Linked DNA regions of Ovis aries. The protein of the gene in region 1 purifies or fractionates together with the protein of each later gene. This does not show direct contact. Links are inferred from orthologs where the notes say so. Each region holds a gene or a part of one and is shown on either strand. Other genes may lie near its edges.

The links.
Region 2: the proteins of CUL5 (region 1) and RAB40B purify together in Homo sapiens (affinity purification with mass spectrometry; 5 studies listed by BioGRID and IntAct, counting the BioPlex papers as one, with this or other methods). This does not show direct contact. The link is inferred for Ovis aries from reciprocal best matches to the Homo sapiens genes CUL5 and RAB40B.

Annotation. Positions count from the first base shown.
Region 1 is NC_056068.1:17,271,985-17,276,924, reverse strand, and holds the start of CUL5 (cullin-5), read right to left. Parts: upstream 3,223-4,940; 5' UTR 2,794-3,222; coding exon 2,770-2,793; intron 1-2,769. UniProt on the Homo sapiens protein: Core component of multiple cullin-5-RING E3 ubiquitin-protein ligase complexes (ECS complexes, also named CRL5 complexes), which mediate the ubiquitination and subsequent proteasomal degradation of target proteins.
Region 2 is NC_056064.1:49,672,679-49,676,907, forward strand, and holds the end of RAB40B (ras-related protein Rab-40B), read left to right. Parts: intron 1-200; coding exon 201-261; intron 262-875; coding exon 876-953; intron 954-1,627; coding exon 1,628-1,850; intron 1,851-2,749; coding exon 2,750-3,021; 3' UTR 3,022-3,779; downstream 3,780-4,229. UniProt on the Homo sapiens protein: RAB40B small GTPase acts as substrate-recognition components of the ECS(RAB40B) E3 ubiquitin ligase complex which mediates the ubiquitination of target proteins.

The DNA.
Region 1 (4,940 bases):
CAAAAAAGGAAATGAAGCTAACTTGGCCATTCCCTAGCCAGATCTATGACTATTCAAGGTATTACCAAACTTGAATTTATTTACTGATCTATTTATATTTTAATTGAAGTACAGTTGATTTACAATGCTGTGTTAATTTCTGCTTTATAGCAAAGTGATTCAGTTATACACACACACACATAAATATATACAATCTTTCCAATGTTCTTTTCCACTGTGGTTTATCACAGTATATTAAATATAGTTCCTTGTGCTATATAGTAAGTAGCACCTTGTTGTTTATCCGTTCTATTTTCTATATGTACAGTAGTTTGCATCTGCTAATCCCAAACTCCCAGTCCATCCCTTCCCCTCAACCTCCTCCAGACTTTAATTCAAATGACCCTATGAATTCTGGTAAGGGTCTCCCTGCCATTTCTCCAAGACAAACTTCCTACTTTTTCATTAAATATTTCTAAAGGCATAAATACAAGACAACCCCCGCCATCCCCCCCATCCACACACTTCAATGAGGAGAGAAAAAAAGGAAAAAAAACTTTTCTGACCAATGTAAATAAGGAAACTTTTGGTGATACAGATAAAAGAATCAAATGTCTACTTATAATATCCACTGTTAGTTGTATGTATTTAAAAATCACATACTACATAAAATATTGAGAAATTCTTTTACCCCCTTTTCAACATCTCATTAAATAATTTTATTGAAAATTTTCCAGTGTATCTGTCATCTTTTTGTATTCCCTAGAGACTGTGACTTTTACCAGTTTTGTCAGAACATTATCACTTTCCTTTTATTTATAAAAGTTGAGTTACAGAACTGCTCGAATTATGATCTTTTTAACCTAAGTCTTAAGCACCTATTTCTATACATTCAGGTGTTTTCAGTTTATAGGTGGGTGTGTGCTATACATACAGATTCATAATCTCTACAAGGTAACGACTTAAGAGTATTGAACGAAGGAGCTTCAGACTTTTATCTCCTCCAAACAATGCTTTGTAAGGCTTTGTATGGAGTAGAATAAAGTGACTCACTCTTTCCTGAGACACAAATCTGGGAGGAAAAAAAGACTTTGCTTTACATCCACATTATCAGTAAGTCAAAAATTCACAATTACTTCTTCAACACATTTCAATTAATAACATACACTATTGGTTATGTAAATACATGGATACATTAACAGGAGTCTTTGCAAGTTAGTTTTCTTTCTGAATTAATATATTAGAACTTTGCTATACTGCTATAAAAGAAGTGAGTTACTCAACTCCCATGAACTTGTCTTCTTAGAGAAACAGCAGTAGTAACTGTAGCAATTTATGTGTATTGCATGCCAGTTAAGATCCAGTCGCTGTTTTAAGATTATACATATACTAACTCAATCTTCACAAAGTTCCTATGAAGTAAGTGCTATTGATAATTTCACTATATTGATGAGGAAACTCAGGAACGGAGAGAAACTTGCCCAAAGTCATGGAGCAGAAATTCTAAGTAGCAGAAATTAGGTCTAGTTCTAGGTCCCTCCCTCTTTTAAAAGAAGACACGGGGTTGGGTAGGAGGGGAGGGGCGGGGCGGGGAGGGGCGGGGGCGGTGTATATATGTTTGTTAGTTGCTCAGTAGTGTCACTCTTTGTGACCCTCTGAACTGTAGCCGACCAGGCTCCTCTATCCATGGAATTCTCCAGGCAAGAACACTGGAGTGGGTTGCCATTCCCTTCTCCAAAAGAAGACACACTGCCTCTAAAATTAGTAAAATTAGAGGGACTAATACAGTTAGTATCAGTAGTCTAAAGAAGACAAGAGTGAGGTTACAGTAAGTTTTAATATATTTTCTATTCTCTATCAACACTGTCTGAAGGCCTAATTGACAGGGTTTTTGAGGGAGAAGTAGTTCATCCACTACCCCCATTTCAGTAGTACTTTTAAGGTATAAAGTATTGCCTACTACAAACATACCACAGACGAAACTAGTGTCAGGTCTTCCTCCTTCTCCTCTCAACTTTGTAACTGATGGTAAAGAATCCGCTTCTCTAGGCCTAGATCCCCCTTGCTATCCCAAATACATAAAACTAACTTTAACGGTTGTCTTTGATAAGGCAACTTTCCTAAGCCCTAAGACAACGGCAGTGCTTCCACTGTAGTCATCTGGTTGCGTGCTGTAATGGGGTTGAGGAACAGTTTCCTAAGTTAAAAAGGGTAAACATACGAACTCAAGAAAGGAAGAACAGAAGAGAAGGTGTAGCCCGCAGTTAAGGGAGGGAGTTGGGGCTTCAGGCGCTGCCGTCTGACTTGGAATTCCGCGCAGACAGAATGAGAAGAGAAACTGAGGAGGTGGGGATCCAAGTCATTAAAACCTGTTAGCAACATTTTCTGGGATTTTCTTTTCTTTTTTTTTTTTTTAATGCGTCTCAAGACTCCCGCTTCAGAAGAAACTGAGACCCTAAGGACACTAACTGACCGATCCGTCAGGACGCTGCACCACCTTTCTTCCGGGGTCCCGAGCCAGCGCTGGCCCCTTGAGACCACTGCCCGCCGTCGGCCCTCGGCCGGGCCTTTCATACACCAGGCAACCGGCACCAGGGACAACCAGGGCCTCTCGACCCCAAGGCCGGAGAATCGCGTTCCACTCCTCGGCGGCTGCCTCCCTGGCTTCCCTTCCGGTAGACAACCCCTGAACACTCCCCCATTTCGCCGCTGAACCAGAACCGAGCCATTCCCCGAGAGCTGAACCCACCGCTCCCGGAGTAGAAATCCAAGACGGACTGAGGGTCTTACCTTTAACAGATTAGACGTCGCCATATTCCTTCAACTTAGACTCTCGCGAGACCGCGCGAGATTTCGTGGAGCTCCGTGCCAGGCCACTACTGCAGGCCCGAGTGTCCCACCTGGGCCGAGGGGCCCCCCGGCCCGCACTGTGGATGTGGTGGGCGCCGGCGTGCACACAGCGCTGACCTCGTCCCTCACTCCCGGAGCTTCCTCGCTCTTCCCTCCCTACATGGTCACCGGGGCCTCCCCGTACGAGAGAGCTCATGCAAACACTCGGGGAGACGGCAGCGGCGAAAGGTGAGAGGGAACAGGAGCCGACCTGAAATCGGAAGAGGAAGCATCGGCTCCACGAGCCTCCCCACTCCTTCAGATGAGCCTCTGTGGTGGCACCCGCAGAGGCCACTGGCAACGAATTTAGCTCGGTTTGGGACCGGCCGCTCTGGTTCGGCGGCCGCGTCACGTGACGCGGCAGGCGGGGCCGCGCTCGGGAGCGAGCGTGGGAGCCTGAAAGCGTCGTGGGCCCAGAACACGCCGCGAGGGCGAGGGGACGCCCTCTGCTGGCAGGAGTATGTGTCTTCCACCGCCGCGTGCTGTGGGGAGGTTACGAAAAAGACGTTATCCTGAGTGAAATGCTTGTAATAGCTGTTTTCAAGAACTGGCGCATAGAAGGGCCCCAAGAAATATTTGTTTGCATGAATCAATGAATCCATGCACGAACGTGTTAACTATTAATATTTCTACTCAAGAGGGCCTGGCACTGAAATAACCTCTAAGAGGTTGATCAGGTATACCAGCACATCCTATACCCTAAGACCCCTACGCTTTATCACTTCAGACCTCAAACCACTGGCCAAATAAAGGGAATATAATTTATATGTAGAATCTACAATATACCTGTGTGTGCTTTTGAACTGTGGCATTGGAGAAGACTCTTGAGAGTCCCTTGGACTGCAAGGAGATCCAACCAGTCCATTCTAAAGGAGATCAGCCCTGGGTGTTCTTTGGAAGGAATGATGCTAAAGCTGAAACCCCAGTACTTTGGCCACCTCATGTGAAGAGTTGACTCACTGTAAAAGACTCTGATGCTGGGAGGGATTGGGGGCAGGAGGAAAAGGGGATGACAGAGGATGAGATGGCTGGATGGCCTCACCGACTGGATGGACGTGATTTTGAGTGAACTCCAGGAGTTGGTGATGGACAGGGAGGCCTGGCGTGCTGCAATTCACAGGGTCGCAAAGAGTCGGACACAACTGAGCGACTGAACTGAATTGAACAATATACCCAGTATTGTATTCTACACATTTCCGAACTGTTCATTCATACATAAAATGTGAGAAATAAGTTAGAGCTATAGAGTCCCTTGGACTGCAAGATCCAACCAGTCCATTCTGAAGGAGATCAACCCTGGGATTTCTTTGGAAGGAATGATGCTAAAGCTGAAACTCCAGTACTTTGGCCACCTCATGAGAAGAGTTGACTCATTGGAAAAGACTCTGATGCTGGGAGGGATTGGGGGCAGGAGGAGAAGGGGACGACAGAGGATGAGATGGCTGGATGGCATCACGGACTCGATGGGCGTGAGTCTGAGTGAACTCCAGGAGATGGTGATGAACAGGGAGGCCTGGCGTGCTGTGATTCATGGGGTCGCAAAGAGTCAGACACGACTGAGCGACTGAACTGAACTGAATAGAGTAAAATAAAGCAGAGAAGAGGAATGCAGTTTTAAACAGAGGGATCCAAGTAGATCTCACTGAGAAGATGGCATTTGAGCAAAAAGACTTGAAAGCGGTGAAGGAGAATGCCAGGACATATTTGGGAGGACAGCAATGGGGGGAGCACAGGTGGCAAGTTGCCCAGAGTTTCAGAGGAACAGTTAGTTAGAAGGTTAGTGTGTTTAGAGAGAGAGTAAGAAGAGCAGAAGGCCTTTTCGGGCCTTGTAGACCACAGCAAAGACTGGCTCTTATTCTCAGTGAGATGGGCAATCATTGCAGGTTTCTGAACAGAGGAGTGGTATGATCAGACTCCCATTTCAACGTGATTGGTCTGACTACTCTGTGGTGAATCCAATGAGAAGGGGATTTAGAAAGCTTTTGTATTTCATTAGATCGACACAATCATGCCACCTAGGTGGCCTACATTTTACAGTGATTTATTAGAGAGTAATCTAGGCATGATTAAAC
Region 2 (4,229 bases), on another chromosome or scaffold:
GAAAGCGCCCAGAAGGACATCTCAAGGTCTGGATCTCTCCAGGGAAAATGTGCCCAACGTTTTGCTGGGGGCTTGGAGTTTCCTTTGGGATGGCCACTGACTGACAATTATAAAATATACTTGCTCTGGCTCCCAAGTTCAAAAACTTTATTGTCAGGAAGTAGTGATTTCTTCTTACAGGCCTCCAACATCTTTTCCAGGGACACATCGGGTCAGGGAAGATTTTGTACCATATTCCGCTCTTACTCTCGGGGCGCACAGGTAACATCCCCTGAACTGGGAGGTCAAACTGACTTTAATAATGACTTTCGGAATGCTCGTTAATGGATACTTGGAGGACAAAGCAATTAGCTCACATATAAGCTGATGCCGGAGTCTAAAGTTGTGCTGTGGACTGTTTGGTGACTCCCAAGCCTTCAGCATCAGGGGGGTGTGGTTGCATGTGTTGTATTTGTACACGCGTGTGCATGAGTGGTGTACATTCACGTGCATTTATGCATGTACACAGATAAATATGCAGGCATGTGGGTTGTGTGTGCACCACACTCACATGTGTGTGTCTGCACGTGTGTGGGAACTCTCTGTCCAGGTGGGCGGGCTCTGCAGTCCCCCCACATTCCATGTCCCTAGACCAGCTCATGAATGTGGGGAACTGAGTTCTACTACCCAACTTACCTTCGCATTTGAGGGTTTCTCCATGAGCTTATGAAATTATCATTGGAAATGATCATATAGCTGCTACATTTGGCACATAAATTTTAAAAAATGTGTTTTGCATTAAAATAAGTAGAATGACTGTTTAGCTCGTTGTGAGTGTGTGCCTGAGTGGCCTGCGTGCTGGCCAGTCTCTCCACAAGTGACTGTTGTCTCCCCAGGGTGTGATCCTGGTATACGACATCGCGAACCGCTGGTCCTTTGATGGCATCGACCGGTGGATTAAGGAGATCAATGAGGTACAACGGGGCAGGGCTCCCTCCCTGTGGGCCCATGGAGGGGTGGGCAGGGGAGCCAGGGCACAAGGCTCCAGCCACAGCGGGGAGGACATGTCACCTCTTAGCACAGGACGAGGCCCTGCACACAGTCAGGTGGGTTGACCAGCGCTAACTAGGCTGCTATCTGCGGGCACCCTGACCGGCCCAGCTGCCAATGGAGACGTCTAGTGGTCAGTCCCATCCACTGTTGTAAGTGTCCTGGGGTGGCCGTAACAGCTCACCACAGACTGTGTGGCTGAACACAAAGGAAACTCATTCTCTGCGTTCTGGGGTCAGAGTCCAAAATCAAGGTGTTGGCTCCCTCTGTCTGAGAGGAGGGTCCTTCCTGCCTCCTCCAGCTTCTGGTGTTGCTGACAGTCCCTGGCCTTTGATCTCTGGATGCCTCACTCCATCTCTGCTCTGCCGTCATGTGCCTTCTTCCCTGAGCGTCCTGTGTCCTCTCCCCTTCTTATAAGGTCACAGTGACGGGATGTCAGGTCCACCCTAAGATCTTAACTAATTCCATCTGCAAAGCCCCTATTTTCAAAAAAGGACATATTCTGAAGTTCTACATGTATATCATCCCAGGGCACCTGTCATTACAACAACAAAGCTTGTGCCTGACCCACTTTCCTTGCCTCTTTGTCACCCTTTAGCATGCCCCAGGGGTCCCTAAGATCCTGGTGGGGAACCGCCTGCACCTGGCCTTCAAGCGGCAGGTCCCCACAGAGCAGGCCCAGGCCTACGCAGAGCGCCTGGGTGTGACGTTCTTCGAGGTCAGCCCACTGTGCAATTTCAACATCACTGAGTCCTTTATGGAGCTGGCCAGGATCGTGCTGCTGCGGCACGGGATGGACCGGCTCTGGAGGCCGAGCAAGGGTAGGTGCTCCTCCGGGCTGCCCGGCAGCCCCTCCAGCGGTCAGCCTCCCAGGACCTGCCCCCAGGTCGCTGTCTCCATTCTCATAAATCAGAGCTTCTGCCCCTTGGCACTACAGCCAGCTGGGATGGTGTGTCCTCTAGTGGGGGCATCCCCTATGCTGTGGGTGAGCTGCACCCTTGGTCTCCCTGCCCCCATTTGTGAAAACCACAAATGTCTCCAGATTTTGCCAAATGTCCTAGGGAGTCAAAATCGCCCCCAGTTGAGAAGCACTGTTCTGAAAGTTGTTAGGACCTTGATTCTAAAAGGAAGCAAAGCCTTGGGTTGTGTTTCTTCTGTCTGATGCTCCAGGGGTTGAGGAGTGCCCTGACTGCACCAAGGGTGAGACGCAGTCTCTGCTCCCAGCAGGCCCCTGGGGAGTCCCGCTCTGTTTGAGCAGGGGCTCTGACTCATAAAACGAACAATGTAGCTGAAATATAAGTGACAGCATTTGCTTTTCTGGTGTGTTCTCCAGTATGTCTTTATAAAGCTGATAACACATTATTCTGGGTCAGCTACTCTGTTGGGAAGCACATTTCCTGAAGCGCTTGGCCTCAAGCCCCAAAAGCTGGTTGCATGAATCCTGAGGAGACGTGATTGGCCATTGCAGGCCAGGACTCGTCTCTCAGACCCAGTGGGAGGGACGGTTGTGGTCTCAAGTTTGGAGGCAAACTGGGTTTAAGGAGACAAAAGCAGGACCACCTATTTCTAATTGCCCCCTGTAGGCACAGGGTGGGAGACTGGGCCTTGACGTCTTGCCCCAGAGTCCCAGAGAGGAGGGTGGACAGGCATCCTGCTGCCCCGGGGCTGGCCCCACGCCCAGGACACTGCAAGTGAACCGGGTTTCCTTTTCTTTCCCAAGTCCTGAGCTTGCAGGACCTGTGCTGCCGGGCAGTGGTGTCTTGCACGCCTGCACACCTGCTGGACAAGCTGCCGCTGCCCACGGCCCTCAGGAGCCACCTCAAGTCCTTCTCGATGGCCACCGGCCTGAGCGCCAGGATGGTGCACGGCCGGCCCTGCTCCCTCGCCACCAGCTCCGGCCACAAGAGGACCAGCCTCCGAAAAGCCAAGGGCACCCACCTCCCCCAGAGCCCCCCCAGACGCTGCTCCAGGAACAACTGCAAAGTCTCTTGAGGAGGGTGCAAGGCAGAGGAGGGGCACAGATGGGAGGGGGAGGCCGCTCTGGACCTAGACGCCTGCCAGTGTTGTGACCACGTGGCCCCGAGCAATGAAACCGAGGCTGGTACCCTGCTTACCAGATACTTCTGCATGGATGGGCATGGGGCTCTTATTTCAGACATGTGTTTATAAAGGGAAGAACTCTTGATAACATGGAATTTTGAATGTAACCTATCATGATTGCAGTGCAACTTTTTTCTTGAAATAACTACTTTTTATAAGAATGGTGATATGTTTGTGATGAGTATAAATTCTAGGGACTACAAAAAGTGGAAATGGAGAGAGAAATTAAGAGTTTTTGATGCTATGAGGGGTCTTTTTATAAACCTCCTTTTTAATGTGGAAGCACTAATTTATAAAACGCCATAGATAAGTTAGAGATTACGCACAGCCAATTTGTCCAGCTTGTGTATGAAACGGATTTGATCAAGTTTTTGCTACGTTATTTACTACGTTTTAGGATAAGTGATTTATATGCATATTTTCTGTAAATCTACATTTTTTTGTACAAATGTTTTACAAGTTATGACGCTAAAGGGAAGAAAATGCCAAAGATATTTCTAGTTACAGCAAACACACTGCAGCATGGTTACACCACGTCCAGACTGGCAAGAGAATGTCACTCAGAGCCATTTTCAGCTAAGAGTGAAGCAAACTCTGTTGTTTAAGAATGGATGTTTCCTGACAATAAAAAGCATACTCGTTTCTTGGTAGACTCGTTGGCTGCTTCTTCCTGGTTTTGTGTACTTCCATCACCCTTGATCCCATTTGCTTTATTGCCTATTTCAGTTACCACAGTCAGTGCTAGTACCTGGCATTGGCAACAGGGCTGTGTCCCTGACCTGAACCACCGAGTGAAAAGATGTCTTTTCCTGAAAAGAACGCGGAGGCAGACAGTGGGGCCTCAAGGGGCAGCTGTCCAGCCTGTGTCTGTACAGGAAGAGTGGGAGGTGCTCTGGCCCCAGTGCGTGGGGCATCACTGCCCAGCATGAGTGACGTCAAGATTGGAGCTGACTCTGCCAACACTCCTGGCAGGGCCTCCTTCCTGGTTCTACGGCTTGACTCTCTGTGGCAGATGGAAGATGTAACAATGGATTAAAAAAATAACTCTCAGAGAAGAGGAAACACCCAGTTGTCCTTGCTTTCTGTTAGTAATTTATAGT